4 linked regions of the Elephas maximus indicus genome follow. The protein of the gene in region 4 binds, or shares a complex with, the protein of the main gene of each other region. Links are inferred from orthologs where the notes say so. Each region holds a gene or a part of one and is shown on either strand. Other genes may lie near its edges.

Region 1 (7,564 bases), on a different chromosome or scaffold from region 4:
CCCTGGCCTTGTTGTGACTATAACATTGAGGTTCTCCATCATCTCTTTCCAGAGATGTAGTCAACTGATTCCTGTGTATTCCATCTGGTGAGGTCCATGTGTATCTGATTCTGTTGGCTCTGACTCACAGTGACATTACAGGACAAGGTAGAACTGCCCCCATAGTTTCCAAAGCTGTAATCTTTATGGGGGCAGACTGCCACATCTTTCTCCCATGGAGTGGCTGGTGGGTTTGTACCACCAACCTTTCTGTTAGCAGCCGAATGCTTAACTACTGTGCTACAGAGTTGCTTCTCCGTGTGTATAGGTGTCATTTACATTGTTAAGAAAAAGTATTTCCAATGAAGAAAGCATTGGTCTTGCAAAATTCTATCATGCAATCTCCAGTGTCATTTTTATCACCAACTCCATATTTTTCAACTACTGATCCTTCTTTGTTTCCATCTTTCACATTCCCATCACCAGTAATTATCAATGCATCTTGACTGCACGTTTAATCAACTTCAGACTGCAAAAGTTGGTAAAAATCTTTCATTTCTTCATCTTTGGCATTAGTGGTTGGTGGGTAAATTTCAATAATGGTTGTATTAACTGGTCTTCCTTGCAGGCATACAGATATCATCCTATCGCTGACAGTGTTTTACTTCAGGACAGATCTTGAAATGTTCTTTCTGAAAACGAAGGTGACACCATTCCTCCTCAATTTGTCATTCCTGGCATAACAGACCATATGACTGCCCAATTCAAAATGGCCAGTACCAGTCCATTTCAGCTCACTAAAGCCTAGAATATTAATCTTTATGCATTTCATTTCATTTTTGATGACTTTCAATTTTCCTTAATTTATACTTCATACATTCCATGTTCTGATTACTCATGGATATTTAAAGGTATTTCTTCTCATTTTGAATCCTACCACATCAGCAAATGAAGGTCCTGAAAGCTTAATTCCATTCACGCCATTAAGGTCGACTCTACTTTGAGAGGGGCCCTGGTAGCTCAATGGTTAAGAGCTATGGCTGCTAACCAAAAGGTCGGCAGCTGGAATCTACCAGCTGCTCCTTGGAAACCCTGCAGGGCCGTTCTACTCTGTCCTATAGAGTCGCTGTAAGTCGGAATTCACTGGACTGCAAGGGTTTTTTTTTTTTTTTCCTCTTCTTCTTTGAGGAGGCAGCTCTTCCCTAGTTGCGTTTTGAGTGCCTTCCAACCTCAGGGGCTCAACTTCTAGCACTATATCAGACAATGTTCTGCTGCTATCCATAGGCTTTCACTATGTTTGTTTGTTTCCAGAAGCCGATCGCCAGGTCCTTCCTCCTGTCTGTCTAGTCTGGAAGCTCCACTGAAATCTGTCCACCATGAGTGACACTGCTGGTATCTGAAATACCGGTGGCACAGCTTCCAGCATCACAGCAACACACAATCTACTACAGTACAACAAACTGACGTTTGTGTTGTAATACACACTTACTTACTCTACATAAAGCAATAGCTGAAGTATGAGAAAAAATGCCTTTTAAAATCCACCCTATATTCTCCATATCATTGTCAAAGATAATACTTCTTTTATTCATAATTTCCAAATAAAAACTAAATACAACTGGCTAAATAACTTTCATCCTAATAAAGTTATTTGCATAATCATGCATTAGATATTAATTTAGAATTAAGCAAAGACTTTTAGATCTCAAGTTCCTGTCTTTTTATGATTTTACAATACGTTTGCTATTCTTAATAATATCCTTGTACTGAAGCAGAATTTTAAAAATTTGCATAATTGTCTTCAAAATAAAGCATAGGCTATTATTCTTTTCCTGTAAAATAATGATACAAATTCTGAGAAAACACCTTTTGCTTGGTTTTCTGATTCAGTTCAGATTTGTGTTTTCAAGTAATTCTTGTGCAAATGCCACCTAAAAAGACTCAATAAGATTCATAACAATGTATCAATTTTTCTTAATTTGATAATTTTTAACAGTCATTCACTAAAATCCATTCCACGCTAGAGTATAAGATGGAAAGCACACCAAGGTTTCACCATTGCTGCAAAAGAAAAAAAAATTTGCAAAGCCAAGGCTAATTAACCACTGTGACTCTCCTAGAGACGAGACCAATGCTTTGCATTTTAACATTCTTTCCATAAATAAAGCAGACTTGGGAAATGCTGTGGGGTAACTACACCTGTAAACCAAACCCACTGTCATCGAGTCGATTCTAACGATAGTGACCCCATAGGACAGAGTAGAACTGCTTCATAGTTTCCAAGGAGTGCCCGTTGGATTGAAACTGCCTACCTTTTGGCGAGCAGCTGTAGCTCTTAACCACTACACCACCAGTGGTGTCCCCAGGTGGTGCAAATAGTTAAGCTCTTGACTAGCAGTAGAAAGGTTGGCAGTTTGAACTGACCCAGGGGTGCCTTGGAAGACAAGCTTCGTAATCTCCTTCCAAAAGGTCACATCCTCTGCACACGTAGGGTTTCCATGAGTTGGAATCAACTAGAGGGCAACTAACAACAGGAAATGCCCATTGCTGTCAAGTCATAGGGATTCTATAGGACAGAGTAGAACTGCCCCATAGGGTTTCCAAGGAGGGGCTGTTATATTCCAATCGCCCATCTTTTGGTTAACAGACGATCTCTTAACCACAGAGCCACCAGGGCTTCACAGACAACCTATGTGTTCCTCCCAAAATCTATGCTGGAATCCTAACCCCTGGACCTGTGGATGTGGTCCCTCTTGGAAATAAGATTTTCTTTGTCATGTTAATAGAGCCATATCAGTGTAGGGTGTGTCCTAAACCTAATTATTTCTGAGTTATAAGAAGAGCAGTAGAGACATGGAAGGAAGCAGAAACAGGGTGAAGACAGATGCCATGTGAAGATTGCCAAGGAACCAAGGAATGCCTCCAAAAACCAGAGGGAAGGCATCCACAAGGTGGAAAACCTAATTTGGAATTTTAGCCTTCAGAACTGTGAGAAAATTAAATTTCTGTTCTTTAAAGCCATCCACTTGTGGCATTTCTGTTACAGTGGTACTAGGAAACTAGGACACAAACTTAAGGTATTTTATCAATCCACCACTCATCTTTCTGAACAGACCACATCCGAACTAATATTTACTTGTTACAATCAAAAACGTGTTTTGTGGTATCCCTCAGAAATAAGCCTAATCTCACACCATACTCCTAATACATAAACTGGAGCAAGTCTTTGTCATACCGAGCCCCTCAAATAGTTGTTTTCTAATCCTACTGTGCATTTCCACAGATTTTCAGGGGTAGCCTCTAAAATAACTTGGCCCTTGTCTCTTAACCCTGGAAGAGAGGACCCTTGCTAATCTAAAACATCACAGTATTTACAAACAACTCTAACATCCACTTCCAAAGCTTCATTCACAAGGCATCTCAGTCATTTTGTGTTTTATATATATATATATTGCAGTTAATGCATTATGCAAATGGCAGAATATTCAAACCTTGCTATTACACTGCTAATTATTCTTTTATCTCAGACTCTCAGGGAGAGGTTTAGAAGAAAATGTCAAGGAAGCAAGTATAAATTCACATAAAGGAATGTTTTGAGCCCAACCATCAGTACCATGTGTTTTTCATTAGAGTTTGATTGTCTCCACGATTCCCCTTAAAGACTTCTACTGAAGGGGTTCCACCGTGTCCTAGGCTGAAAGACAGCCAGCCAAGCTCACCAGAGCAAGGTGAGGGAGGACACCTGGGCGGGGAACGGCGGCGCTCCAGTGACCCCACACGGGTCTTGCAGGGGCGTTTGCAAGGCTCTGGGCGTCGGGGACCCATGTGGCACCAGGAGGAGGGGCGGTCATCTCGGAGGGAGGTGGCAGGCACTAGTGCCCCCTGGCTAGTGTTCCTGACTAGCTCTCTTCGGTGGGAGCCTGCTAAACCAGGCAGGAGGGCGAGGGACCACAGAACACACACTTAGTTTCTGGTCCCCCAACGAGAGTCGCAGGTCCAGGCCGTGTCCCCGGACACAGGAGCCCAGGCAGCGTGGGCACTTGTCTCCTGTCACTGACAGGTGTCACGGCGGGTACCCCCGGGTCCCCTCGGCCCAGGCACGGCATGGCGGCGCACAGACGCTGTACCTGGCAGGCACCACGTACCTATCATGGTCACTGGGCGGGCGGCGGCCGCTCGGCAACAGGGCTCCAGCGCCCGTCGCCCGCCGCCTCCCAAGGCCGCTCTTCCCGGCTGTTGCTCAGATCTCCCCACCCACGCTCTGTTCCCCCGGGACGACCGAATGCGCAAGCGCAGAAGACTACGGCCCGAAGCCTGCCGGGAGTCGTAGTTCCGAATTGCAGTCACGCCGTCGCCCCCCAATCACCTCCTCTCACTGCAACTCTAGCCGGCTCCAGGCACAAAGACGCATGAGCAAAGGAAACGCGTCCCGTGGCCTGCCGGGAGTCGTAGTCCTGACCGGCAGCTACGCCTTCGCCCCGCCTGCCTCCCTGCGGCGACCCTTTCCGGCTTCAAAGCCCAGGCAGCGCACGTCACGACAGGGCGAGGCCGTTCGGCCGCAATGTTGACGCGTCGCTTAGCAACCGCGGGCTTACCTTTGGAAGCTTGTTGCAGCTCTAGCCAAGGTCCTGCGCTCCTCCCGCCCCTCCCCTCCCCCAAACCCTGTTCACCTAGGAGCTGCCAAACATCTGGATCGACCTGGGCACTACGAGGGGTGGAATTTCTATCAGTATTGCGCCTTTTGACATTTTTTCCCGACCTTCTTACATCCGTAGGCCCCACTGATTCTTAATACACTTTTTTTTTTATGAGAACAAGACTTTTCCTAGGAAGATGGTGGCAGAAAAAGAGACCCTGAGCTTAAACAAATGCCCAGACAAGATACCGAAGAGGACCAAGCTGCTGGCCCAACAGCCGCTCCCGTTGCACCAGCCGCATTCCCTGGTTTCCGAGGGCTTCACAGTCAAAGCCATGATGAAAAACTCGGTCGTAAGTGATCTTCCGATTGAATGCTCTCCTCCAAAGCAGGGTACACGAGGTTGTGCAGGCTGGCCCTGTAATGGACCCTGAGCCGTGTCCTGGGTGGTCTTTGCCAAACTGGCAATTATTTGGCCAGTGGGAGACTGTACCCAAGAGTGTGGATGTCAAGTTAGGTTGGTTAGAGAGGATCCTGGGCAAGTGGTGTACCGTCCCGTTTATAAGCACCTTCCTATGCACTCACAGTTTCTAGAGCACCCAGAATTACTCTTAAGCTGTTTATGCGAACAAAAAAGATCCCCTTTATTTATTGGCTACCGAACTAGCTCTACAGGGCAAAGGGCCTTATAGGAGGTGAGTTGTTAGAAATCACAAACTTTTGCAAAATTTAACACGTGCTGATGTACAGCTGAGAACATAAGCTCATTAAATCATCTGTAATGAGAAATTTCATCCACGTAGGTAATTTTGGAATATCTTAGGTTTACTCCAGCAACACCGTTTCTCACAAAATGATATCAGCCTGTTAGAGTACTCAGAGTACCGAATATGAAGTCTATTTCCTGGTAACAATAAGCGATGCTTTTAAAATAATCCAATCTTCAGTTCAAGAATCTCTGACCATTAACCAAAACCGAGCCCGTTACCGTCGAGTCAGACTCGTAATACCCTATAGGACAGCAAAGAACGGCCCCGTAGGGTTTCCAACACTGTGATCTTTTTGGAAGCTGACTGCCACATCTTTCTCTCACACAGTGGCTGGTGGGCTCGAACCACCAACCTTTCAGTTACCAGCCAAACAACCACTGCACCATCAGGGCTCCTTCTGCCTATTAGTACAATTCGTATTTCATTTCCATTTGTGGTAACAAAAATATTCTTAACACTATTAGAAAATAAATTTTTTTTTAATGCACACAAATCCTTTGGCTATATACATGGTAATTTAGTTTAAAAAAAGAAAAAAAGAAAATCTTCCTATTTGTTAAATAGCTTTAAATGTGGTATGCTAAACCAGATTTTACTACTGAGTAAGCACCTGTCTGGGAATGAGGCATTAATAATAAATGTAGCTTTCAAATTTGTATAGTTTACACCCTGGGAGGATCTGATTTATTATGTGTAACTCATTGTGTTAAATGAATAGTGTTGCTTTCCAGTGTGGGTCACATTGTTTGTTTTACTTAAATGTTGCAAATGTGATACCTTATTCCTAAACCACGTCCTTAAATACGTGAAAGAAACAGATTACCTCCAGTCTCCATGTCTGATCCCCACGTTGCTACACAGAGTGGTGTTCTGGTTGTTCGTACTTGTGTGAATTGATTTACAATAGTTGAAATTCTGGGAAATACACTAATAATCCTGCATGTTGTTACTGCAGTCTTTTCATTGTATTTCTTGTGAACTGTTTCTCAGGGTAGCCGGGATGACTCATTTATCAGCCATTCAGAATCCCATAACCATACAAGTGAATCATTTATCTTTTCTTCTATACAGTATTTATAATGATCATTTTGAAGATTTTTTTCCAGTGTTACATTTTAACATCACAGATGTCTAGGAAAAAAAAAAAAAAAAGAGCTCAGATTCTCTTGTTTTTTAAACTGGTGTTCACAAATTCATATATTGTGTGTATTCTTAAACAGCCTTACACCAAAAGTCTCTGTTCTGGAAAACCGAATGTTTTGTCACTAGAAAAAAAAAAAAAAATCCATTGCCATCAAGTCAATTACAACTCATGGCAACCCTGTACGTTACAGAGTAGAACTGCTCCGTAGGGTTTTCTTGGCTGCAGTCTTTACAGAAGAAGATTGCCAGGCACTTCTGCACCTCCGCTGGGTGGATTCAAACTGCCAATCTTTAGGTTAGCAGCTGATTGCACACCGCTTGCACTGCCCAGCAAATATGTTGACAAAACTCAAAGACATCGATTATGAAGTAGCTTTCTTTATAAACAACTAATTTGAGATAAATTATCTTCTTTGCATATTTTTAAAGAAAACTTTTAGTGCACTATCTATGTCTCCACTGGGATCCCAGAATGGAATGGTTCATTTTTTTCACTCCATTTAGCAGAAATCGTAATTCTTAGAAATAAACATTATTCAGTCAGTCTGGGATCAGCAAGTGAACAAAACAAAGTCCCTGTCCCTAGGAAAACCACCACTACCACTTTATCAACAATAAAGTCTTGATAAAACTAGACAGTGCTCTTCATACAAACTAACTTCAGTGGTAAAAGAAAGGAAGTATTTCACCGTTTACCTTTAGCAGCATAGGACTTTTGGCATTTATAAAGTTAAAATATCCCTACATCTTCCTTAAGGTGTATTTCTATTTAGACAACATAATATGCCAATCTCCAGCTTTTCTTAATCGAAACCCCATATTGCGAAAACCAAACCTTCTAACCATTTTTCAGCATTAAGGATTGCATTCAATTCTGTTTTTCAAATGCTGGCTAGTTAGATGAGCTGCCATTCCAGTGCTCCCCACAAAAGATACATAGAGCTGCACCCTCGGGAGTCGTATGACGATTCCTGATATTCTTGTGAGAGTGCCGTAATGATAAGTATAAAAATTTGATCATTGACAAACTTGATCA
Region 2 (7,013 bases), on a different chromosome or scaffold from region 4:
ATTGCTGAAGTCAGTTCTCTGTAAGACCCCTCCCCTAATACCAAGTCAATTCACCCCTAGAATGAACTATGGTGACACATTGAAATTAAAGTCAGGGCTTCCAGCTGAATGGGAAGGGGGTCAATGCCACCAAGCCGCCCACCCTTGTGATCTGAAATGATGCCCTTTGATTTGTTTCAAGTCTCATTCCAGCCAAGTGCAGATTTCCAAGGGGAGAGAAAGATGTTGAATACCAGGCCTGACATTTGCACTTTATATTTCAGTCCGTTACTATGGGAAGAATCAGAGAGCACGTCATAAATTGTCTTCACTCACAAAGGATTTATGGGTCCCTCAGCTGGAAACTGGGAGAAGGATTGCTTTGTTGAGGGGGGAGTTATTTACAGGGAGAAGAAAGCCAGGTTCTGCTTTGCTCTGGGACATTCGCCTGAATCAGTGATTTTCTTAAGAAAATCCTTTGGCCATGGAAGGGCGTCCTGGGGAACCAGGCTGATTTACAGGGGAGGCTAATGTTGATTTGCATGCCAGTCCTCTTGTCTGGAGCAGACAGGGAGGGCTGTGTCTGCTACAGTTGGGAAATACTGGCTGGATCCAATATTTCACGTGATGCTTCCATAAATAAGTCAGGTCACAATGCCCGAGGGAGACAGGGGGATGGGCACAGACAATGAAGCAGGGGTTCCCAAGATGTACATCACCAGGTGCCCCTCAGTATCTTCCCAGTGCCAGAGAAAGTGACTTGGAGGGTTTCCCATCAAGAAAGAGCAGTGCTGAGAAGGCACAGTGGCCCAGCCTAGGGCTTGGTGGGGTGAGGAGAGAGGCCAACAGGGACTTTCTAGCCCCTTCTCTTGGTTTCAGGTGCCACAGTGGTGGTTCAGTAGTAGAATTCTCACTTTCCATGAGACACAAAACCTGGGTTCCATTCCCAGCCAATGCACCTCATATACAGCTACCACCTGTCTGTCAGTGGAAGCTTGCATGTTGCTGTGATGCTGGACATGTTTCAGCAGAGCTTCCAGACTAAGACAGACTAGGAAGAAAAGCTTGGTGATCTACTTCTGAAAATTGGCCAGTAAAAACCCTATGGATCACAATAGTCTGATCTGCAGCCCATCACGGAGATGGCACATAACCGGGCAGCATTCATTCCATTGTGCATGGGGTTGCCATGAGTCGGGGGCAACTCGACCACAGCTAACAACACCAACTCAGATCATCTACTCGCACGGATAATGAAGAGTTAATGCCACTGTCAGCCTCTGTGCTGGGGGATGATACGAGTGAGACAAGTCTTGTTTTCCTAAGAGCAGTCTGGGCCTACAAGAAGTAGGTTCCATGTTCCCTGGGCTATGTGGGGCCATCGGAACCAAGGGCTGCCACTCCCTCTTACCTCCACTCTCCTCTTTCCGTACCACCTGGAGATCTGGTCAGGCCTATGGTCTGGAAAGGGGATGTACTCTTTTCTGTAAATGCACTGGGGTGTTTTCTCAATGGCTCTGGTGAACTGGAAAAGACCAAACATTCTGGAGAACCCTGTGATGCCCTTTCTCAGACATCTGCTTGGCCCCTCACCTCTCAGGCCCCTGGAAGATTGGTAGAGAAAGAGTAAATATGGGCCCCAGGCATCCTGCACAATGCAGGCAGGCTGAATTCTGCCTCCCATGGGCTGGGACCACCCTCCAGGACCTCTCAGAAGAGCCATGATTGGCGCTACTTGACCACTTCTTACTGTTGGCATCTGTTTCCTTCCTCATCTTCTCTCTCCTGCTTGCCTCCGGCCTTCCTCTCCTGCTTTGTTCCTTGCACTCTTTAAGCCATCCCTTTTGGTAGCTTTTTTTTTTTTGGTAGAAGACCAGCTCGTAATATCCCTGGGGACTGACTAACCCACAGGAGCCACAGGGGACTGCTCAGACAACTTTTTCCTTTGTCCTTCTTGCCTTTAGAACTTCCCTTACACAACCTGTCCACCAACAGGTGCAATTAGGGAGAACAATAACCATAGGCCATATCAGGCCAGAGGAGAGGTCAGTGCTAATGTTCCCATGACAGCAGCCTCTTTGGGTTCTCAGAGGTCACCACCAACATTCCCCAAGCCTGTGCTCTCGCACCCTCTTTTCCTTGCCCATTTCCTAGGAACTCGGGAGGTTACCCAGGTGTCTGCATACATGGTTCAGTCTTGTTGGCCACAAATGCAGATGTTCAGCTTGAAGTAGGCCAGGTCAGACAGGGTATTTTCCAATGGCCTTTAAAGCACAAAGGAATGCAGCCTATTTGTTCCACTGGGAAAATAAAAATTGAAATACATGGGAAGGCAGGGTTGTGGACCATGTGCCAGAGAGCAGCAGCACCACCCTGGACATCAAGGCAGGGAAGTGCCAAGCCTGCCTTGGCAGGTGCCGCATTCTGGAAGGACCAGGCCAGGAGAATGGACATTCTTCAAATCAAGGTGCAGAAGAATTGGGGACAGTCCTGAGAGGCATGGCTTCCTTGATGTCACAGCTATGGTATTTTTGAGACAGAATGGGGACAAGCGTGATGACTTGAACATGATCCCCTAAGTCGAGCACAGAGACCCTGATGCCACATTTGTATGATGGATGCACAGCCATCTGTAGCTCTGGATTTGGACACAGTGATGACCCTCTCCCTCTGCCTCTCCCTGCCAGTCCCCCCTCTGCACCCTCTACCCCCCTCCTCTCTCTTCTTACCTTCCTTCTCTCTTCCACCCAGTTCCCAGTGAGCACGCGGGTGGAATACTTGGGCTCGATACACCAGCTGGGAGTGGAGTACGACTGTGGGCTCAACGCCCTCACGAACATGGCAAGGCTTCACCCTTACTTCCTTTGACTTGGTGCACTTTCAGGTTTCTAGAGGGGTATGATGAAGTGGCCAAGTTTGGGATGCCCTTTCCTCAGCCGCCCTCTCGAGTGAGTAGAAGACACCCTGCTAATTTTGTGGACAAAAGGGTGCTGAGAAGTCCACTTTGGGCCTCCAGGGAGAGGTGCTGTGGTCTTGGATACCCTACTGTTGACTGTCTCCATGGTGACAGACTCTGGGTAAAAATACTCTCCTTGAGGGAACAGCTGATTCTGCACGAGAAAAACTGACCCCATGAAAACAAATCAAACCAACCACCACCACCACGAAATCAGGGGCCACAGGGGTCTGGTATTCCTGCTGTCACCCTAGGAGGGCCATCATCCTTGCTGCATTTTTACAATTAGGGTCAGTTGAAATGACCCCGTTCTACTACTACTTACTGAGTACTGATGTCTAGGCCTACGCTAAGATATTTGCAAGTATTCACTGGTTGAGTCCTCACAGTGGGGCAGGGCTCTTATTTTACCCATTTTACAGATGAGGCCGCTAAAGCAAAGAGAGATTACATGGCTGCCTAAAGCCCCACAGCTACCACAAGGAAAAGCTGGAATGCAATTTCAGTCTGATTCAGGGCTAAACTAGTGGGCCCCATTGCCTGTCTGCACTTTGTCTAAGGGGCTTCCACTAAGAATCCTCCACGCATAGTTCATTGGTCAGTGCGTCTTCACTTATTTATTCCACAAACATTTTACTGAGCACATTGTAAGCACTGAGCTGGAGGCTGCAGTCCATCAGTGACTAAGACTTGGGCCTCACCCTCCCGGAGCATGCGGCCCATCTTCTCGCTTACTGATTAAGCAAAGAGTCAGGAGCCACCTAAATATCCACCAACAGAGGACTGATTCAATAAATTGTGTACATCCATAAAATGAAATATTCTGCAGCTGTTAAAAAAAAAAAAAAAATCCTGACTTAGAAGGATGTCTCTACCACATAGTTAAGTTAAAGAAGCAGGAATATGTGTGCTGTGTAGTCTTGCTTGCCACAAATGAAGACATTCATTTTTAAGTAGGCCAATTCAGAAAAAGTATTTTCCAAAAGCCTTTAAGAAAAACTAGAGGAACTCCAGGAATCTATTTGTTCTATCTTGAAAGTAAACTTGCAGCAGAGAGAGGCCATGGGATGTGGGATAGAAAACAATGCAAACCTCTAATGATCCGGGACCACAATCTGGGCAGGCTGGAGCCAAGAAGAAGAAATACTCTTTCAGTCAAGGCAGAGGGAGCCATGTGTACTAAATTATTTCACTTTTAAAATATTCTCTTGTAAAAGGTAACACAAACATGAAAAAGTGCATTAAAAATATTCAGTGGAGGTGGAGCCAAGATGGCGGAATAGACAGACGCTTCCATCAAGCCCTTTTTACAACAAAGACCCGAAAAAACAAGTGAAACAAGTATATTTGTGACAAGCTGGGATACCTGAGCATCAAAGGCAAGCTTAGACAACGAATTGAGGGGCAGGGGAAGACCGGTCAGAAGCTGAGAGGAGTTACCGGACCTGAATCGCAGGGAGCCCTCAGGCACCATTCCTGGAGGAGTGGCACTGGCGGCAGCGGGGGCGGGCTGGTCCTAGCTTTCGGCCCCAGTTTTCTCAGGGAGAAGCAGCAGCCACATAGCCCACTCACACCTCCAGAACCTGAGGAGAAGGGCACTCTCAGCAAAAGCTAAGTACTTGCGTATATTTTGCCGCGCCCCCACCCCACCCCCAAGCCGGCTTCAGCAGCTGAATCCCTGGGCCTGAGACAGACCCTGGTGAGCTCCTAGAGCCAACCTCCCGGCCTTGGGGAAGGAAAAAATTTCCAACTGGGGGGAAAAGATAACTTGCTAGCTCCATTAACTGGGGGAGCTCAGGACAGAACCGGCTCCTGTCCAGGCATAAACCGTCCGAGAACCTTGAGCACCTTTCCCTTCTGCATGGACCTGTGTGGGTCTATTTCCGGAGAATAGGCCCTTGTTGGCAAACTCCAATCATTTCAGCAGTGCAGTGGAGAGGTGGGTGTTTGACATTTGACATTGCTTTGCCTATTAAACAAGGTCCTCACCTACCCACAACAGGGACCTAAGGACTGGTGGCTCCACTTGGGTTGCCCAGCCACCCACGACAGGGGCCCAGGGATAACTGGTACCTCCCAGTCCTTACAACAAAATCTTTGGGTGCCCATGGTCCCTCTGCAGAGCCCACCCACCAGTATGCTCTAGGGAACAGAAATGCATTTTCCTCAGAGACACGTGGAGGTCGGTTCTCAGCCCCCTGCCTTATTCAGAGCATGACCCCCTGCTGCACTCAGATATGGGTATATACGCCAATCACCCCTGCCCCTCTAAGACTGTACGACAGAGCCTGTACCACACACTTGACAGCAGCTACCTGGAAACCTGAGCTGAATTCATACAAGAAAATCAAATGGACTCCTAGACTGATATACCTGATAACAGCTCTAGCCAGCTGGGGACAGGACACCAGAGCTCCAAAGGTGAAAATAATCAAGCTAGCTCACTCAAGCAACCCATAGGGGTATACCAAAACAAAACAAAGCAAGCAGCTACGACACAGTAAGCAAGCATAAACTAATACAATAACTTATAGATGGCTTGGAGACAACAGTCAATATCAAGTCACATAAAGAAACAGGCCATGATTACCTCAACAGGATCTCAAAATAAAGAATCCAGGGATCTTTTAGATGAAAGTGCATTCCTGGAATTACCAGATACAGAATACAGAAGTTTAATGTACAGAGCCCTTCAAGACATCAGGAAGGAAATGAGGCAATACGCAGAACAAGCCAAGGAACACACAGATAAAGCAACTGAAGAACTCAGAAAGATTATTCAGGAACATAATGAAAAGCTTAATAAGCTGGAAAAATCCATATACAGACAGCAATCAGAAATTCAGAAGATTAACAATAAAATTACAGAATTAGATAACTCAATAAAAGTCAGAGGAACAGATTGAGCAAGTAGAAGCTAGAATTTCTGAACTCGAAGATAAATCACTTGGCATTAATATATCTGAAGAAAAATTAGACAAAAGAATTTAAAAAAATGAAGAAACCTTAAGAATCATGTGGGATTCTATCAAGGGAAATAACCTCGGAGTGATTGGAGTACCAGAACAGGGAGGGATAACAGAAAATACAGAGAAAATTGTTGAGGATTTGTTGGCAGAAAACTTCCCTGATATTGTGAAAGATGAGAAGATATCTATCCAAGATGCTCATCGAACTCCACATAAGGTAGATCTTAAAAGAAAGTCACCAAGACATATTATAATCAAGCTTGCCAAACCAAAGATAAGGAGACAATTATAAGAGCAGCGAGGGATAAAAGAAAAGTCACCTACAAGGGAGAGCCAATAAGAATAAGCTCGGAGTACTCGGCAGAAACCATGCAGGCAAGAAGGCAATGGGATGATATATTTTAAAAATTGAAGGAAAAAAATTGCCTGCCAAGAATCATATATCCATCAAAACTGTCTCTTAAATATGAAGGTGAAATTAAGACATTTCCAGATAAACACAAGTTGAGGGAATTCGTAAAAACCAAACCAAAACTACAAGAAATACTAAAGGGAGTTCTTTGGTTAGAAAATCGATAATATCAGATATCGCCCCAAGACTAGAACATTGGGCAGAGCAACCAGAAGTCAACCCAGACAGGGAAATCCGAAAAAAAAAAATACAAAGCGAGATTAAAAAAAAAAAAAAAAGCCCAACACAGGGTAACGGCAATGTTATTATATAAAAGAAGACAACATTAAAATAATAAAGAGGGACTAAGAAATGTAATCACACACCTTCCATATGGAGAGGAAGATATGGCGATACAAAGAAATAAAACACAATAAAAATTATTAAAAAAAAGAGCAGACTAGGCAGAGAGAAAGAAGCACAAACAGGAAGATACAAGCCACATGAAGATCTGCCGAGGAACCGAGGAGCAGAAGCTGAGGAGAGACAGTGATCTTCCCTCAGAGTTGACAGAGGGAGAGTCTTCCCCTGGAGCCGCTGCCCTAAATTCCAACTTCTAGCCTCCTAAACTGTGAGAAAATAAATTTCTGTTAGTTAAAGCCAAAAAAAAAAAAAAAAAGTACAAGGTACAAATGGCCAATAAACACATGGAAAATGT
Region 3 (7,635 bases), on a different chromosome or scaffold from region 4:
TATTTCTTCCCTCATTAAGATCCACCGACTGACTCTGTATCCATGTGCTTTACCCCTGCATTTGGAAGCTTTAGATTTCTTCCATGTATTTCCTCTCTACCTTTATCTCTCAATACCATACTAGTTACACAGAATTGCTTATGTCTCCCAAACACAAGCAGCTTTGGTCACGCTCTATGCCTTTCTGTGCCCAAGATACTCTAATCTCATTTTTCCATCTAACAGTGATACCTTTTAACATTAGCTCAAATATTACTTTCTCCGTAAAGCCTTGCCCATCTCCTCCAAGCGGTATTATTCAGTCTTTCTACTGAGTTCTATGTTGTGTGTGCACTTGTATGAAGAAAGAATCACATTTGTTTTATATCCATTTAGGCATCTATATAATATCTACTTAGTTGTCTGTCTCCATCACTGGAGTGAAAACCTAAACCTAGAGGGTAGAGATCATGTGCTATTTATTTTATATTGCCCTTTTTTTTTTCTACTTAGCACCATTGCTGATGTGAGATGGATGCTGGCTGAAAGCAGAGAATACCAGAAACATGTTTATCTGTGTTTTATTGACTATGTAGAGGCAGTTGACTGTGTGGATCATAACAAATAATGGATAACATTATAAAGAACGGGAATTCCAGAACGCTTAATTGTGCTCTTCCCGAATCTGTACACAGACCAAGAGGCCGTCATTCAAACAGAGCAAGGGGATGCTGCATGGTTTAAAGTCAAGAAAGGTGTGCATCAGGGTTGTCACCTTTCACCATACTTATCCAGTCTGTATGCTGGGCAAATAATCCAAGAAGCTGGACTATATGAACAAGAATGGGGCATCAGGATTGGAGGAAAACTAATTAACAACCAGCGATATGCAGATGACACAACCTTGACTGCTAAAAGTGAAGAGGACTTAAAGCACTTACTGATCCAGATCAAAGAACACAGCCTTCAGTATGGATTGCACCTCAACATAAAGAAAACAAAAATCCTCGTAACTAGACCAATAAGCAACATCATGATAAACAGAGAAAATACCGTAGTTGTCAAGAATTTCATTCTACTTGGAACCATAATCAACTTCTACGGAAGCAGAAGTCAAGAAATCAAATGACACATTGCATGGGCAAATCTGCTGCAAAAGACTTTTTCAAGTGTTAAAAAGCAAAGATATCACGTTAAGGTCTAAGGCATGCCTGATCCAAGCCACAGTGTTTTCAATTGTCTGATATGCATGCAAAAGCTGGACAATGAATAAAGAAGACCAAAGAGGAACTGATGCCTTTGAATTATGGCATTGACGAAGAACACTGAATATACCGTGGACTGCCAGAAGAATGAACAAATCTGTCTTGGAAGAAATACAGTCAGAATGCTCCTTAAAAGCAAGGATGGCAAGACTTTGTTTCACATGCTTTGGACGTGATATCCGGAGGGATCAGTCCATGAAGAAGGACATCATGCTTAGAGAAGTAGGGGGTCAGCGAAAAAGAGGAAGACCCTCAGCAAGATGGACTGACACAGTGGCTGCAACAACGGGCTCAAGCATAATAACAATAGTGAGGATGACACAGGACCAGGCAGTGTTTCCGTCTGTTGTACACAGGTTCACCATGAGTCGGAACTGACTCAACGGCACCTAACAACATTCCTAGCACAATGACCGCCACAAATCTTTATTGAAGGAACTAATAACTCTCAGAATAAATAATGAATAGAAAAAAAAATTTTTTCCCCATTCATTATAGGAATGTTACGACACAACATGAATCTTGGTGAAAGGGTTGAGAAAATTAAGATTGAGGAAGGAAATGATGGTCAAAGGAGAAAGGAAGAAGAAATCAGGAAGAACTACTGGTGTAAACAGCAAACAATGTAGACATTTAGAAAGGCAGTCAGAAAATTAGAGGAGATCAATATGTGGAATGAGTCCAATGGGGCAACAGATATCAGAACCCAATGGAATCTTCGCAATTTCACTCCACAAGCTCAAACAGGTCTAATAACTTTATCATCACAATAAATACCTAACAACACATAGTTCCCAAAGAAAATACTGGAAAAAATACTTACACTTGGCCAGTGAGGCGTTCGATCAAAAAATTTTCCAGAGTATATGGGTCTGATGCAATGTGGAGGTTCCACCCCTAGTTCAGTGTTCTCAACCTCCTCCTTTTTCTCTTCAGGTTGCTGGGCAAACTGGCATACAGGGGGTTCTATCACTAAGCCCATCTGGGGCTCTGGCTCCTCTGGTTGGGGTAGCCCAGTGTCCACATCCACTGGACGCATCATCTCTGCACTGGGCTTCATCAAAACACAGGCAGAGTCTTTCTCCAGTTCCTGTCTAGGTTCAATACCCAAAGCAGGCTGCTTTCCCACTGACGCCTCTGTCCCTTCAAGGGCACTAGCCACAGGCCCTCTCCTGCTCTCTAGAACCTGTGGACTTCCGCACTCCATATGCAAGGGAGGCTGTATTATCCTTCCATGGGGACATCCTGCCAGAAGACACTTATTTTCTAACCCCATTCTTCCTGGCAACATTCCCAGAGAAGGTTTTGTTTCCTGAGAGACTGAGACCTTGTTCACTCCTAAATGATCCCACTTCGTGGGGATTTTCAACTCTAGCCCAGAAATATTCTGTTTTTCTAATCCTATTTCAAGGCCCTTGCTCAGTGGAGATTTTGTTTCTTGCGGCTCCATCCTCTTCTCATACTTAGTATTAACCATGGGGCTCTCTCCCCATCGGGATTCTTCTTTTCCTAACCCTACTCCAAGCCCCAACTCCGTGGGATATTGTGTTCCCATGAGAACCCTCCTGTTTCCTAAATCATCCTTGCCTGGGTGGGTGAGCCCGACCTCCGCGCTCAGAGATGTCCCGCCAGGCACCTTCATTCCACCAAAGGGGCTCATCTCTAGTGGGAAAGCTGCGCCTGGCTCAAGGGAAGTTCTCATTTCCCTGGGGGACTTCATTCCCTTAGGGGACCCCACTCTCACAAAAGAGCACATCCCCACTCGGACTCCCTGCCCACTGTTTCTGCCCACCACTTAACATCTAGCTGAGTTCACAGGGAAAAGTAGACGGAGGACTGTTTACCCAGTTACCTAGGAAACAGGGGCGGGGCTTGGCGCGCAATTCTTGCTCCTGCTGGTCCCCACTCTGCAACTCTTTACCTCTCCGCTTGCTTTTTTCCCCGTTTTTTTTTTTTTTTTTGTGTGTGTGTGTGTGTGTGTGTGTGTGTGTGTGCTCGTGCGCCGACTATGGATTTGCTTCTCTGGGTGTAGGATGAGATTGAGTGGAACAATCTTCACCGGGTGTGTGGGGCGGCTTCTATCCTTTCAGAGGCAGAAATGGGCTAATTTGGCAAGAACACTTGAATAATATGGCCTTGGGCAAGAGACCAAATGCTCACCAACTTCTCACTGATTTCCTAAGCAACGCAATCCCTTAGGATGGTTTCAGCCACGAGCTTTTTCCTGGTCACTGACCTCCTGGTTTTGTGGTTCATCAGGGAATAAATAACTTTTTTTCTGGTGGTGACCACTTTTAGGACTTCCCTAGTGCAAGCACACCCTCAGTACATGTAGTTCTTCTAGCACTAAAGAACTACTTTAAATTCTGGAAAGTTATAACTTGGCAGCTGTGCTACAGAAACCTATTAAAGTCCTTAACAACACTTAAACTTTAAAAAAAAAAAAAACTTTAATAGCTAGGCTTTAAAAAGTAAAGATATTAAACTGTGAGATAACTGTTACACAATAATACATAGTTTGCTTTTTTTTTTTAAATACTCTGACAAACTCAAAACTTGTTTTTAAGAATAGGATTTTTTTTTTTTTTTTTAAGTTGGAGTTACTTTGTCAAATTTTAGTGAAAGTGTATTTGGATAGTTACGTCTCATGGTCTACACGCATAGGGGATATACAACACCTATTAGGGAATTTGAATGTAATTTACAAGATTCTACACTCTTTATGGAAACCCTGGTGCCATAGTGGTGAAAAGCTACGGCTATGAACCAAAAGGTCGACAGTTCCAAACCACCAGGCGCTCCTTGGAAACCCCGTGGCAGTTCTACTCTGTGCTACAAGGTCGCTATGAGTCGGAAACAACTCGATGGCAATGGAAATGGACAGTATTTACAAAAAACTATGAAAACTTTGTTAAATCCAGAGGGACTAGAGAATACTATTTCACATTTTTTTTAAATAGTTAAAATAGAATTTACTAGGTAGTTAATATAAATATCCTTCTTCCTCTAAGTGCTTTAAATGACTTGTTGTTAGGTGCTGTCAAGTTGGTTCCGACTCATAGCGACCCAATGCACAAAGGAATGAAACACTGCCCGGCCCTGCGCCATCTTCACAAACATTGTTATGCTTGAGCCCATTGTTGCAGCCCCTGTATCAATCCATCTCTTTTTTCACTAACCCTATACCAAGCATGATGTCCTTCTCCAGAGACTGGTCTCCCTGATAACAAGTCCATGAGACAAAGTCTTGCCATCCTCGCTTCTAAGGCACATTCTGGCCGTACTTCTTCCAAGACAGATTTGTTCATTCTTCTGGCAGTCCATGGTATATTAAACACTCTTCGCCAACACCGTAATTCAAGGGTATCAATTCTTCTTTGATCTTCCTTATTCACTGTCCAACTTTCTTTAAATACCACGGCTTGGGTCAGGCACACCATAGTCCTTCAAGCCTCATCATTGCTTTTCAACACTTGAAAGAGGTCTCTTGTAACAGATTTGCCCAATGCAATACGTCATTTGATTTCCCGACTGCTACTTCATGGGAGTTGATTGTGGATCCAAGTAAAATGAAATCCTTGACAACTTCAATCTTTTCTCCGTTTATCATGATGTGGCTTACTGGTCCAGTTGTGAGGATTTTTATTTTCTTTATGATGAGGTGCAATCCATACTAAAGACTGTAGTCTTTGATTTTCATCAGTAAGTGCTTCAAATTCTCTTCACTTTCAGCAAGCAAAGTTGTGTCATCTGCGTACTGCAGGTTGTTAATGAGTCTTTCACCAATCCTGATGCAGCATTCTTCTACATACAATTCAGGTTCTCAGGTTATTTGCTCAGCATACAGATTGAATAAGTATGGCAAAAGGATACAACACTGACGCACACCTTTCCTGACTTTAAGCCACGCAGCATTCCCTAGCTCTCTTTGAACAACTGCCTCTTGGTCTATGTATGGGTTCTGCGTGAGTACAATTAAACATTCTAGAATTCCCATTCTTCACAGTGTTATCCATAATTTGTTATGATCCATACAGTCGAATGCCTTTGCATAGTCAACAAAACACAGGTAAACAGCTTTCTGGTATTCTCTCCTTTCAGTCAAGATCCACCTGACACCAGCAATGACACCCTGCGTTCCATGCCCTCTTCAGAATCCGGCTTGAACTTCTGACAGTTCCCTGTCGATGTACTGTTGCGATTGCTTTTGAAAGATCTTCAGCAAAATTTTACTTCTGTGTGATATTATTCCCCGCCCCCCCATCTCCACCCTGCTGTTGAGTCGATTCTGACTCGTAGCAATTCCATAAGGTTTCCAAGGCTGTAAATCTCTACGAAAGCAGACTGCCACATCTTTCTCCTGCAGAGCTGCTGGTGGTTTCTAACCGTTGACTTGTCGGTTTGCAGAGATAATCACTTTAACCCCTGTGCCACCCAAGTTCCCTGGTGGCGCAGTCGTTAAGCTTTCAGCTGCTAACCAAAAGGTCAGTAGTTTGAATCCACCAGCTGCTCTTTGGAAACCCTATGGGACAGTTCTACTCTGTCCTATAGGGTCACTATGAGTTGTAATCGACTCGACAGCAACAGGTTTTTGTTTTTCTTGTGTGTGTGTGATATTAATGATATTGTTTGATAATTTCCGCCTTCTATTGGAGCACCTTTTTTTGTAATGGGCACAAATATGGATCTCTTCCAGTTAGTTGACCAGGAAGCTGTCTTCCAAATTTCTTGATACAAATGAGTGAGTACCTCCAGTGTTGCAACCATTTGTTGAAACATCTTACTTGGTAGTCTGTCAATTCCTGGACCGTTGTTTTTTTCTCATTCCCTTCAATGCAGCTTGGACTTCCTCCTTCAGTACCATCAGCTCTTGAGCATATGCTACCTCTGGAAATTTTCCCCACAGAATCCTTCATTATTGCAACTCCAAGCTCAAATTTTTTTCTTCAGTTCTTTCAGCTTAAAAAATGCCAAGCATGTTCTTCCTTTTTGGTTTTCTAACTCCAGGTCTTTGCAGATTTCACTATAATACTTTACTTCATCTTCTTGAGAAGTCCTTTGAAATCTTCTGTTCAGCTCTTTTACTTTATCATTTCTTCAGTTCGCTTTAAAAAAAAAAAGCTACTCAATATCCAACAGCAAGTTAGGAGTAACCTCCTGTTGTGCAATTATTCATTCAACCAATGTTTGTTGAAAACCTGCAACATGAAAGGAACTAATTTGGATCCAGGGAACATGAATACCTGGAACAGCTCCTCAGTGATTCAAGCAGTTTGCAAAGCAATTGTGTTTAAGAGTTCCACTGCTAACCAATAGGTCGGCAGCTCGAATCTACCAGGTGCTCCCTGGAAACCCTATGGGGCAGTTCTACTCTGTCCTATAGGGTCGCTATGAGTCAGAATTGACTCAACAGCAACATGTGTAACCCAAGGGTAAGGAGCCATGGTGGCACAATGATTAAGAGCTTGGCTGTTAATTGAATGGTTGATGGTTCAAACTCACCCATCACTCTGTGGGAGACAGATGTGGCACTCTGGTTTTGTAAAGATTCCAAAAACCAAACTCACTGTCACTCAGTCAATTCTAACTCATATCGACCCTACAGGGCAGAGTAGAACTGCCCCACAGGGTTTCTAAGACTGTAAATCTTTACAGAAGCAGACTGCCAAATCTTTCTCCCACAGAGTGGCTACTGGGTTCAAATCGCTGACCTTCTGGTTAGCAGCCAAGCGCTTTAACCACTGCACCACCAGGGTTCCTTCTGTAATGATTAAAAAAACAGCCTTGGAAATCTCATGGGGCAGTTCTATTCCATCCTATAGGGTGGCTATGAATCGGAATCTATTTGGCAGCAATGAGTTTGGGTTTGGGTATCATAGTGAAGATCCTCTTAAGCTCTGTGAGAAACTGAACTTTGTAATCCTAAGAAGACTGAAGGGCTGAGGAGAAAAGTCTAGGAACTTTCTGAGGCAGGATGTTAGAAGAACCATTATAGAGAGTAAAGCAAAGTACTGGGAAACCACAGAGGAAAGAAAACGATAATTAAATCTGGGAGAAGTATACATAGACGCTGTCTAGAAGTTGGCATCCCAACTGAGGTGAGCCTGGCAACGATGGGCCAGGTAATGGTGTTCAGGTGGAGAGAACAAAGTAAGATGCCAAGATGGGAACATGTAGGTATGACGCATCATGCTTTTCCGGTTAGCATGGAGGAGCATAGGGTGGTTAGGGGATGTAAGAAGGTGAGTTGGGACTAGAGCTAAAGAATTTTGGACTCTATTAAGCAATGAGATATCATTGAACATTTTTGAAGAGGAGAGTGGCTAAAGTGTGAAGAGTAGATTAAAAAGGCAAGCTGTTTCTGCCATCTAGTTGATTCTGACTCAGAGTG
Region 4 (7,257 bases):
GCGGGAGGTGAGATGGGAGACCTGCTCCTACCCTCCGCGGCCTCCTAGCCCCTCCACCCCTGGGGCTCCTGCAGGACCGTGGCCAGGGCAAAGAAGCCCCCTTGCCTTCCTGGCCCCACTCATGGTGGTCAGCTTGCAGGACCTCAGAGACTGAGAGCTTAGGTCCCGCTAGGTGCAGGGTGGGGGGAAGCAAGGAGAGTACTGGAGAGGGTCGTAAGGATGGGGTTGTCCCTAAGGCATCCCCCCCAGTTTGGTTCTCTCTCTAGTACCCTTTTTCTGGGTGGGGCTCCAGGAACCTATCCTAGACTGTGGGGGCTGCCAAAGGTGGGCAGTGGGTGGGAGACCCCTGGGCTAGGGTTTCCCAGGCACCGCCCCCCCCCCGCACCTGCCTGAGACACCAGGGGGCGCCACTCGGCTTGGCTGACACCTACCAGGAAGTCAGTCCTGCAGATGGGGTCACTGTACCTAGACCTCATGTCTTGAACCACTGGCCTTGCAAACCCCTCTCCAGGTCCGCAGTACCTTCTGAGACCCTGCACCTGGGGATATGCCTGCCCAGGACATGCCCTCAGAGCAGGTGGGCCTGTGGGGAGTACAGGCCCAGCACCCTACTCCCTGGGATCCGGTTTCACACAGGAAGGCTTGTCCTCGGCCATCTTGTAAGCAGACACCAGGGGAGTGCTGGCTACTGCCTCCCGCCCAGGGCTGCCCACACCCCAGCCGACCGCAGGGTTCCCCCAAGGAGGGAAGCTTCAAGTGAATTATGTCCGTCATTCCAGAACCCAGTCCTTTAGCCAGGGCATGTGCATGGACAATTGGGCAGCCTGACCCTCCCTCAGGGCCTGACTGTCTGGCACACTTCTAGAGCCCTATGCTGTGGCCCGAAGCCTCCCCTGATCCAGGAGACCCACCTCTCCTCCTACACCCTCCCACCCATCCTGGGAGCCCAGGTTTGCCAAATGGAGGACAAGGGGAGCTGGCCAAGGAGACTACATTTCTTGCTGAAGTCTTGTCCTTTTATCCCACCTTGGATCCCCTCAAGTTCTCCGAGTCTCCCCCAGTTACCCCCAGTGTCTCCCAGGCTCTCTCTGTCCCCTCAGCTCCCCCATTTCCCCTAGTCCCCTCAGCCCCCCAGTGTCCCCCAGGCTCCTACAGCACCCCTTGTGAGAGCCTCTGGAGACTGGGGATCACCTGGCTAACCCAAGGTGACATTGCTCTGGGAATTGTGGGTCCCTCACAGGTGAACTCCAGCAAGAACCAGGGCCCCATGGCCAGCTCTGCTCCCCAGTTTTGGTCCCACCCACTGGCCTTATGGTATTCTCTGCTATCTCCTCGGGAGGGGCTAGGCCTGGCCAGTGCCCTGGGGAGGGTGATGGGGGGGCCTTGGGGAGGCAATGAGGCCCTCATGGGCAGGAGGAGGAAAGTGCTCCTCATACCCCTCCTTCCGGAGCCAGTGAGGCTGCCTACAAAGGCTGACCGCCGGGTCCTTTGAGGCCGGAGATAACAAACCCTCCCGCTGGGACCATGGCCACTGGTAAACAGAGCTGTCCTTGAGGACTCCTCCAACAGCTGTAGGCACAGTGGGTGGGGCTGGCCAGCACTCCCACAGCCTGGACACCAGATCCAGGGCTTCTTCTGCCTGGGCTTCCCTGCTTCCGGCCATTGCTGCTCTGTGTTCCACCAACCACAGACCCCTACCTGGCCCAGGTCCTAGCAGCTGCCCTCCTGCCCACACTGCTCATCTCTCCAGACTGGGGCCCCACGGAGGGCTCCGGGTGGGGAACTTTGGAGCTTTTCGCCACCAGCTCTGTGTGGCAGCCGCAGGCCCCCAGCCTCCTGTCCCAGCCAGCATTGACCATACCCGGGCACTGTCGGGGAGAGGACACCTGGTCCACCGAGGGCGCTGGGGTTCACTCCCACAGCCTCTGTGTATCACCTGCAAAACGGGGGTGACATGCAGACCTCATAGCCCCAGGAGAACCTGTCACAGTTACCAGTGGCTTTTTCCAGTGCACAGCCTAAGGGGCAGAGACATCTTTGAAAACAGGCAGGAATGAGGGGTCCAAGTACCTTCAAGAGCAGCCCCAGCAGGCTGAGTGAAGAAATCAGAATTCTCCCCGCCCCCCTTCTTCCCCCTGAATTTGTGACAACTCGTGTTTTGCCTACTGCTTGGACACCTAACCACTTGGCAACCAAATCGAGGGGAAGCAATGGGCACCATGAGGACCCTAGGACTGGGGCGACACTTCCTACGCACCAAGAGATCCTGCCTGCGATGGGTGATTAACAGAAGCCAGACCTGCCTTCCCAGGTGGCGAGTGGGGAAGGAGTGGTCCCCCAGCCCTGCGAGGACTGTTCAGCACATTGATAGACCAACTCGCCCCCAGGCCAGGACAGTAGATCCAGGGTGAGCGAAGCTGCAGACTCCTCTCAATGGGCATAAACGCTGGCTGGCCTCTAGGCTGGGCTGCTGCTTGTCCTGGAGATTTTGACCCAAAGATAAGCTGTTTCTGTCTTTGAAACCACCCAAGAATGTGTTTAATTAAGCCTGAAGAAGGGTTAGCATTCCCCCCTCACCCCCGCCTCCCCCCCGAAGAGAGAAATAGAGCAGCAGGTATTGCCCAGGACACCCTGAGTCAGGAAGCTGAGGGGGTGAGAAGTTCAAGAAAACCAGAATCCAGAGAACCCCTGACCCCCCACCTGGCCACGGCAAGAGAGGCTGTTCAGGGCAGTCCTGACTGTATATCTTGTTTTTAAAATTTTACAAACATATAATGCAAATGCGTAGTTCAAAAGAAAATGATTAAAGGTGCAATCACATGTAATTTAACTAGTATTCCTTTATAAGTCCCCGCCCCCGCCCCCCATATAAATCAGAGAGAAATAAAAGCTCTTCTCAGGTCAGGCGCGCCGAGCCCTGGTTGCGGCTGAGCCGTGGAGCCGTGACGATCCCATGCTCACCGAGGGAGGTCCCGCGCCCTGACGCCGCCCTGGTCTCCAGGCAGCCCGGTGCGCTCTGGGCACAGACACCAAGGCGACGGGCGCCGGGCCAGCGTCTCTACAAACAGCCCGCGCGCGGCTGCCAGGGGTAGGGCCCCGGGCCTTGGCAGGATCCGCGCGTCCGACTCGCTCCCCGGGAGCAACTGCGGGGGAGGAGGAGGAGGCGGCCCTGCGCCAGACCTCGGCCACTCCGCACCCAAGGGCGCTGCGCCTTCAAAGGCGGCCGTCCGGGCAGGGGCCGGACTGGGGCCCGGGCGCGCACCTCACAAGGCTGTGAGGGTCGCGGGGCGTGAGGAGCGGGCAGGACAGGAAGCCTCTCGCCACATCCCCCTTGGTCTCCACTGTCGGGGCGCAGGAGAGACAGGTCCCCTCCTCCGCCAGCACTCCTGTCCCAGCGCCACCGCCCCTTTGGCGCCTGCAGCTTGTTTATTTTTTAGCGTCAATGACAACACGCCCCTTCCTGCTTGCGGACCTCCGGGGCTCGCCCGCGCCAAGACCTCTCCAGGGTGGCCCGGGCCCGGCGCGCTCGCCTCCCCGAACCCAGCCGCGCCCACCCCCAGGGCTCCGGCACAGCGCGGACAACTGGCCCACTCATGCCGGTTCCGTGACGACCGAACCGAAGGAGCCACCCTCGAGAAGGCGCCCATGCCGGGCCCAGGGGCGGTCCGACTCGCCCCCGAGGCCAGCGCGGCGGGCTCTCCACGACGCCGCACGCGGGGCTGCAGTGACGCGCTCCGGCGCTCGCGCGAGGGCCCCACCGGCCCGGTCCGGACTCGAGGCGCCGCCCTTCCTGCGTTCCCCGGGCCCGGACCCTCCTCAGCCTCCGCCCCGGGCCTGCCCGCAACCGTGCCGCCCGGGTCGGGCCCTGGAGCCCGCCGCCGGGCCGGAAACCGGCGCCCCGACCGGAGTGCGCGCGCCCGCAGCACGCGCCCGCCCTTCCGCGCGCGGCGCCCGCTGCATTGCGGCGGTTACCAGGACGCTAGCCCCGTTTGGCCAATAGCACCAGCCCGTCGCCGTGCACCCCGGCGACAGCCAATGAAAGCACAAATCAATCATTTGAAACACCCAATGGGCAGAGCACTGCGGCGCGATGGGGGAGGACTTGGATAGGGAGAGCGCAGGAAGCGGCTGACCAATAAAGAGCGCTCCGCCGTGGGAAGGCGGGCCTTAGGCGGCTCGATGGTCGGGGTAGCAGCCAATCAATCGAGGTCACTTGCCAGCCTCGTTCTGGAAGCCCAATACGACGCCGGCGGGGGCGGGCGCCGCGTATATATAAGGGTTCGCGCAGCGTCGGTTGTAGCAGTCCGTGTGCCCGCTCTTCCATTCCCGGTTTGGACCTGCTGCCCGCGCCGCCGCCGCCGCCATGAGGGAGATCGTGCACCTGCAGGCCGGGCAGTGCGGAAACCAGATCGGCGCCAAGGTAGGCGGGGGGCCGCGGGGGGGGCGCCGGGCGGGCGGGCGGGCGGGCGGGCGGGCGGGCGGCCGGGAAGATGGCGGCGGCGGCGGCGGCGGCGGGCGGGCGGCGCCCCCGCATTGCGGCCCCGGACTGCGGCCCCGGACTGCGGCCCTCGGCGCCCGCCCTGCGGGGGTCGGCAGGTGCGGGGCGGGGCGGCGGAGGAGCCGGGCGGGGGCAGGGCCGCCTCCCTGCGCACCGGCCGGGCGTGACTCAGCCCCGCGCCCGCCCGCCGCCTCGCAGTTCTGGGAGGTGATCAGCGACGAGCATGGCATCGACCCCACCGGCACCTACCACGGCGACAGCGACCTGCAGCTGGAGCGGATCAACGTGTATTACAACGAGGCCACCGGTGAGCCCCCAGGTCCCCCGCGGCCCCCCGGCGCCCCCAGGCCCCCCCCGCGGCCCCCGGCCCCCCCCGCGGCCCCCCGGCGCCCCCCCGCTCCCCCGCCCCCCGCCCCCGCCGACGCCCTTCCCGCCCCCCCCCAGGTGGCAAGTACGTGCCCCGCGCCGTGCTGGTGGACCTGGAGCCGGGCACCATGGACTCTGTGCGCTCAGGGCCCTTCGGGCAGATCTTCCGCCCCGACAACTTCGTCTTTGGTGAGCAGGGTGGGGCTTGTGTGGGTGGCTGGAAAGCCAGGACGGCCATCCATGGGCAGGCCCAAAGGTCACTGTCAGAATCCACCCTCCCCAGGGCAAAAACTAGGCCCCTGGACACGCTTCCCCTGGAGTCACTCAATCCCTTCTCATAAATCGGCTTTGGGAGAAAGGCTCAGCTGTCTGTAGGGAAGGAACGCGCAGGTGTAATCTCTCTGGAGCTAGACTTGTCCTTGGGAATTGGCAGGGCTGCCGTGGGAGGGGCTGGTTTATTGTTAGGCTGTCTCAACTTTGGCCTCTAATTTAACTCCTAACTGGGCAGACTGTAGTCTCATGGTTTTGGGGGCTTGTCTGCTCTGCCCACAGGACGAACTTTGTGTGCCACCTCACACCACATTATCTGGCTCTTTTGGCATGGACGCAGATGATCTGTGGTGGGAGTGCCTGGCTGAGAATGACCAGCAGCTGTTCTCCCTTGCAGGTCAGAGTGGTGCTGGGAACAACTGGGCCAAAGGGCACTACACAGAAGGTGCAGAGCTGGTCGACTCGGTGCTGGACGTTGTGAGGAAGGAGGCCGAGAGCTGTGACTGCCTGCAGGGTTTCCAGCTGACCCACTCCCTGGGTGGGGGGACTGGGTCTGGGATGGGCACCCTCCTCATCAGCAAGATCCGGGAGGAATACCCTGACAGGATTATGAACACCTTCAGTGTGGTGCCCTCGCCCAAGGTGTCAGACACGGTGGTGGAGCCCTACAACGCCACCCTCTCGGTGCACCAGCTGGTGGAGAATACAGACGAGACCTATTGCATTGATAACGAAGCTCTCTACGACATCTGCTTCAGAACCCTAAAGCTGACCACGCCCACCTACGGTGATCTGAACCACCTGGTGTCAGCTACCATGAGTGGGGTCACCACCTGCCTGCGTTTCCCAGGCCAGCTCAATGCTGACCTGCGGAAGCTGGCCGTCAACATGGTGCCCTTCCCCCGCCTACACTTTTTCATGCCCGGCTTCGCCCCGCTGACCAGCCGGGGCAGCCAGCAGTACCGGGCCCTGACCGTGCCCGAGCTCACCCAGCAGATGTTTGATGCCAAGAACATGATGGCCGCTTGTGACCCCCGCCACGGCCGCTACCTAACGGTGGCCGCCGTCTTCCGGGGCCGCATGTCCATGAAGGAGGTGGACGAGCAGATGCTGAACGTGCAAAACAAGAACAGCAGCTACTTCGTGGAGTGGATCCCCAACAACGTGAAGACGGCTGTCTGCGACATCCCGCCCCGCGGCCTCAAGATGTCTGCCACCTTCATTGGTAACAGCACGGCCATCCAGGAGCTGTTCAAGCGCATCTCCGAGCAGTTCACGGCCATGTTCCGGCGCAAGGCCTTCCTGCACTGGTACACAGGCGAGGGCATGGACGAGATGGAGTTCACTGAGGCTGAGAGCAACATGAACGACCTGGTGTCCGAGTACCAGCAGTACCAGGATGCCACAGCTGAGGAGGAGGGCGAGTTTGAGGAGGAGGCCGAGGAGGAAGTGGCCTAGGGCGCTCTGCTAGTGGGGAAGCGTGGAAGCGGTGTGAACTCTTTATTCATTCACAACCTGTTCTGATACCATGTTTCACTGTCTCACTTGCTGTCCTTCTGTCTCTCCTTACATGCTGTACAGACATCTCCATTAAAGCGTTTTCATAGTGTGCGGCCCCGCCTCTCTGTTTCCTTCTGATAGGCCTTCCGGGTGCTGTTGCCAAATGTGAGCGCATAGCTGTCTTGAGTGGCTGGGTAGGGGGACAGGTGCAGCTGAGCCCTGGTCACCTGGCCAGACTCCACTGGCTGGTGAAGAAGTCTGCTTCCTCAAGGAGGACCAGACCCCGGTGTGAGGCAGACCTTGGTCCCAGACTCCACTGTTCAAGTCTAGTCCACGCTGGGGGAGGGATGATGGTGGGTGTGCCCAGTCAACCGCCCCCTCCCTAGGTGCAACTGCCTGAGCTGATGGCCACGTCCCACATCCTGACACCCCGCCCCGTGTACTCACATGGTATAAACCCCATGTAGAAGGGAATCAGGCCTTGGCTGCTGTAGATGGTGTTGCTGGGCCAGTGTGTTTTGGGCAGCCTCTGGCCCAGGGCACAGATGGGGTTCCTAGACAGGAACTGAGTGTAGAGGCAGACCCTGATGCTCTGCAGCCCCCAGCCCCACACCAGCAAGTCA

Evidence for each region.
Region 1: the proteins of TUBB4B (region 4) and PACRG are in contact, whole or in part, in a cryo-EM structure (PDB 7UNG), measured with the Homo sapiens proteins. The link is inferred for Elephas maximus indicus from reciprocal best matches to the Homo sapiens genes TUBB4B and PACRG. Residues at the interface, in NP_006079.1 of Homo sapiens: Glu194, Phe260, Pro261, Arg262, Gln291, Phe294, Asp295, Ala296, Arg306, His307, Gly308, Arg309, Tyr310, Val333, Lys336, Asn337, Ser339, Tyr340, Phe341, Gln375, Ser413, Asn414, Asp417, Ser420, Gln423, Gln424, Tyr425, Gln426, Asp427, Glu432; in NP_689623.2 of Homo sapiens: Glu40, Gly41, Phe42, Thr43, Val44, Ala46, Met47, Met48, Val53, Arg54, Gly55, Pro56, Pro57, Ala58, Ala59, Gly60, Ala61, Phe62, Arg65, Lys154, Arg160, Arg162, Arg191, Gln192, Pro195, Asn198, Ile199, Phe200, Asn202, Met203.
Region 2: the proteins of TUBB4B (region 4) and CFAP107 are in contact, whole or in part, in a cryo-EM structure (PDB 9CPB), measured with the Bos taurus proteins. The link is inferred for Elephas maximus indicus from reciprocal best matches to the Homo sapiens genes TUBB4B and CFAP107. Residues at the interface, in NP_001029835.1 of Bos taurus: Lys19, Glu22, Asp26, Tyr36, Asp39, Ser40, Asp41, Leu42, Gln43, Leu44, Glu45, Glu53, Gly56, Gly57, Tyr59, Pro80, Leu215, Leu217, Thr219, Thr221, Tyr222, Gly223, Asp224, His227, Leu228, Ala231, Gly244, Gln245, Phe270, Pro272; in NP_001033296.1 of Bos taurus: Thr74, Val75, Glu76, Gly77, Leu78, Tyr80, Lys81, Leu83, Ile84, Thr85, His86, His87, Gln88, Glu89, Gln92, Arg93, Tyr94, Leu95, Ile96, Ser97, Thr98, Asp101, His102, Pro133, Pro138, Thr139, Asn140, Tyr141, Leu143, Tyr144.
Region 3: the proteins of TUBB4B (region 4) and EFHB are in contact, whole or in part, in a cryo-EM structure (PDB 7UNG), measured with the Homo sapiens proteins. The link is inferred for Elephas maximus indicus from reciprocal best matches to the Homo sapiens genes TUBB4B and EFHB. Residues at the interface, in NP_006079.1 of Homo sapiens: Asp26, Glu27, Asp31, Pro32, Thr33, His37, Gly38, Asp39, Ser40, Leu42, Gln43, Thr55, Gly56, Gly57, Lys58, Ser78, Gly79, Pro80, Phe81, Gln83, Leu215, Lys216, Leu217, Thr219, Thr221, Asp224, His227, Pro243, Gln245, Phe270; in NP_653316.3 of Homo sapiens: Tyr523, Gly524, Val525, Gly526, Leu528, Ile529, His530, Asn531, Arg532, Tyr537, Arg539, Asp542, Arg545, Ala546, Ala549, Ala550, Arg552, His553, Lys556, Tyr608, Asn624, Phe625, Trp628, Asp630, Lys631, Thr686, Leu687, Leu688, Ser691, Asp692.

Annotation. Positions count from the first base shown.
Region 1 is NC_064819.1:234,900,631-234,908,194, forward strand, and holds the start of PACRG (parkin coregulated gene protein), read left to right. Parts: upstream 1-4,552; 5' UTR 4,553-4,812; coding exon 4,813-4,968; intron 4,969-7,564. Other genes in the region: PRKN (E3 ubiquitin-protein ligase parkin), read right to left, coding at 4,125-4,131. UniProt on the Homo sapiens protein: Microtubule inner protein (MIP) part of the dynein-decorated doublet microtubules (DMTs) in cilia axoneme, which is required for motile cilia beating. Suppresses cell death induced by accumulation of unfolded Pael receptor (Pael-R, a substrate of Parkin).
Region 2 is NC_064821.1:52,599,530-52,606,542, reverse strand, and holds the start of CFAP107 (cilia- and flagella-associated protein 107), read right to left. Parts: upstream 3,012-7,013; 5' UTR 2,820-3,011; coding exon 2,709-2,819; intron 1,505-2,708; coding exon 1,391-1,504; intron 1-1,390. UniProt on the Homo sapiens protein: Microtubule inner protein (MIP) part of the dynein-decorated doublet microtubules (DMTs) in cilia axoneme, which is required for motile cilia beating.
Region 3 is NC_064845.1:19,818,788-19,826,422, reverse strand, and holds the start of EFHB (EF-hand domain-containing family member B), read right to left. Parts: upstream 3,018-7,635; 5' UTR 3,001-3,017; coding exon 2,068-3,000; intron 1-2,067. UniProt on the Homo sapiens protein: Microtubule inner protein (MIP) part of the dynein-decorated doublet microtubules (DMTs) in cilia axoneme, which is required for motile cilia beating.
Region 4 is NC_064827.1:987,668-994,924, reverse strand, and holds TUBB4B (tubulin beta-4B chain), read left to right. Parts: upstream 1-4,281; 5' UTR 4,282-4,363; coding exon 4,364-4,420; intron 4,421-4,696; coding exon 4,697-4,805; intron 4,806-4,942; coding exon 4,943-5,053; intron 5,054-5,531; coding exon 5,532-6,592; 3' UTR 6,593-6,735; downstream 6,736-7,257. Other genes in the region: protein FAM166A, read right to left, coding at 6,736-6,824, 7,082-7,199. UniProt on the Homo sapiens protein: Tubulin is the major constituent of microtubules, a cylinder consisting of laterally associated linear protofilaments composed of alpha- and beta-tubulin heterodimers.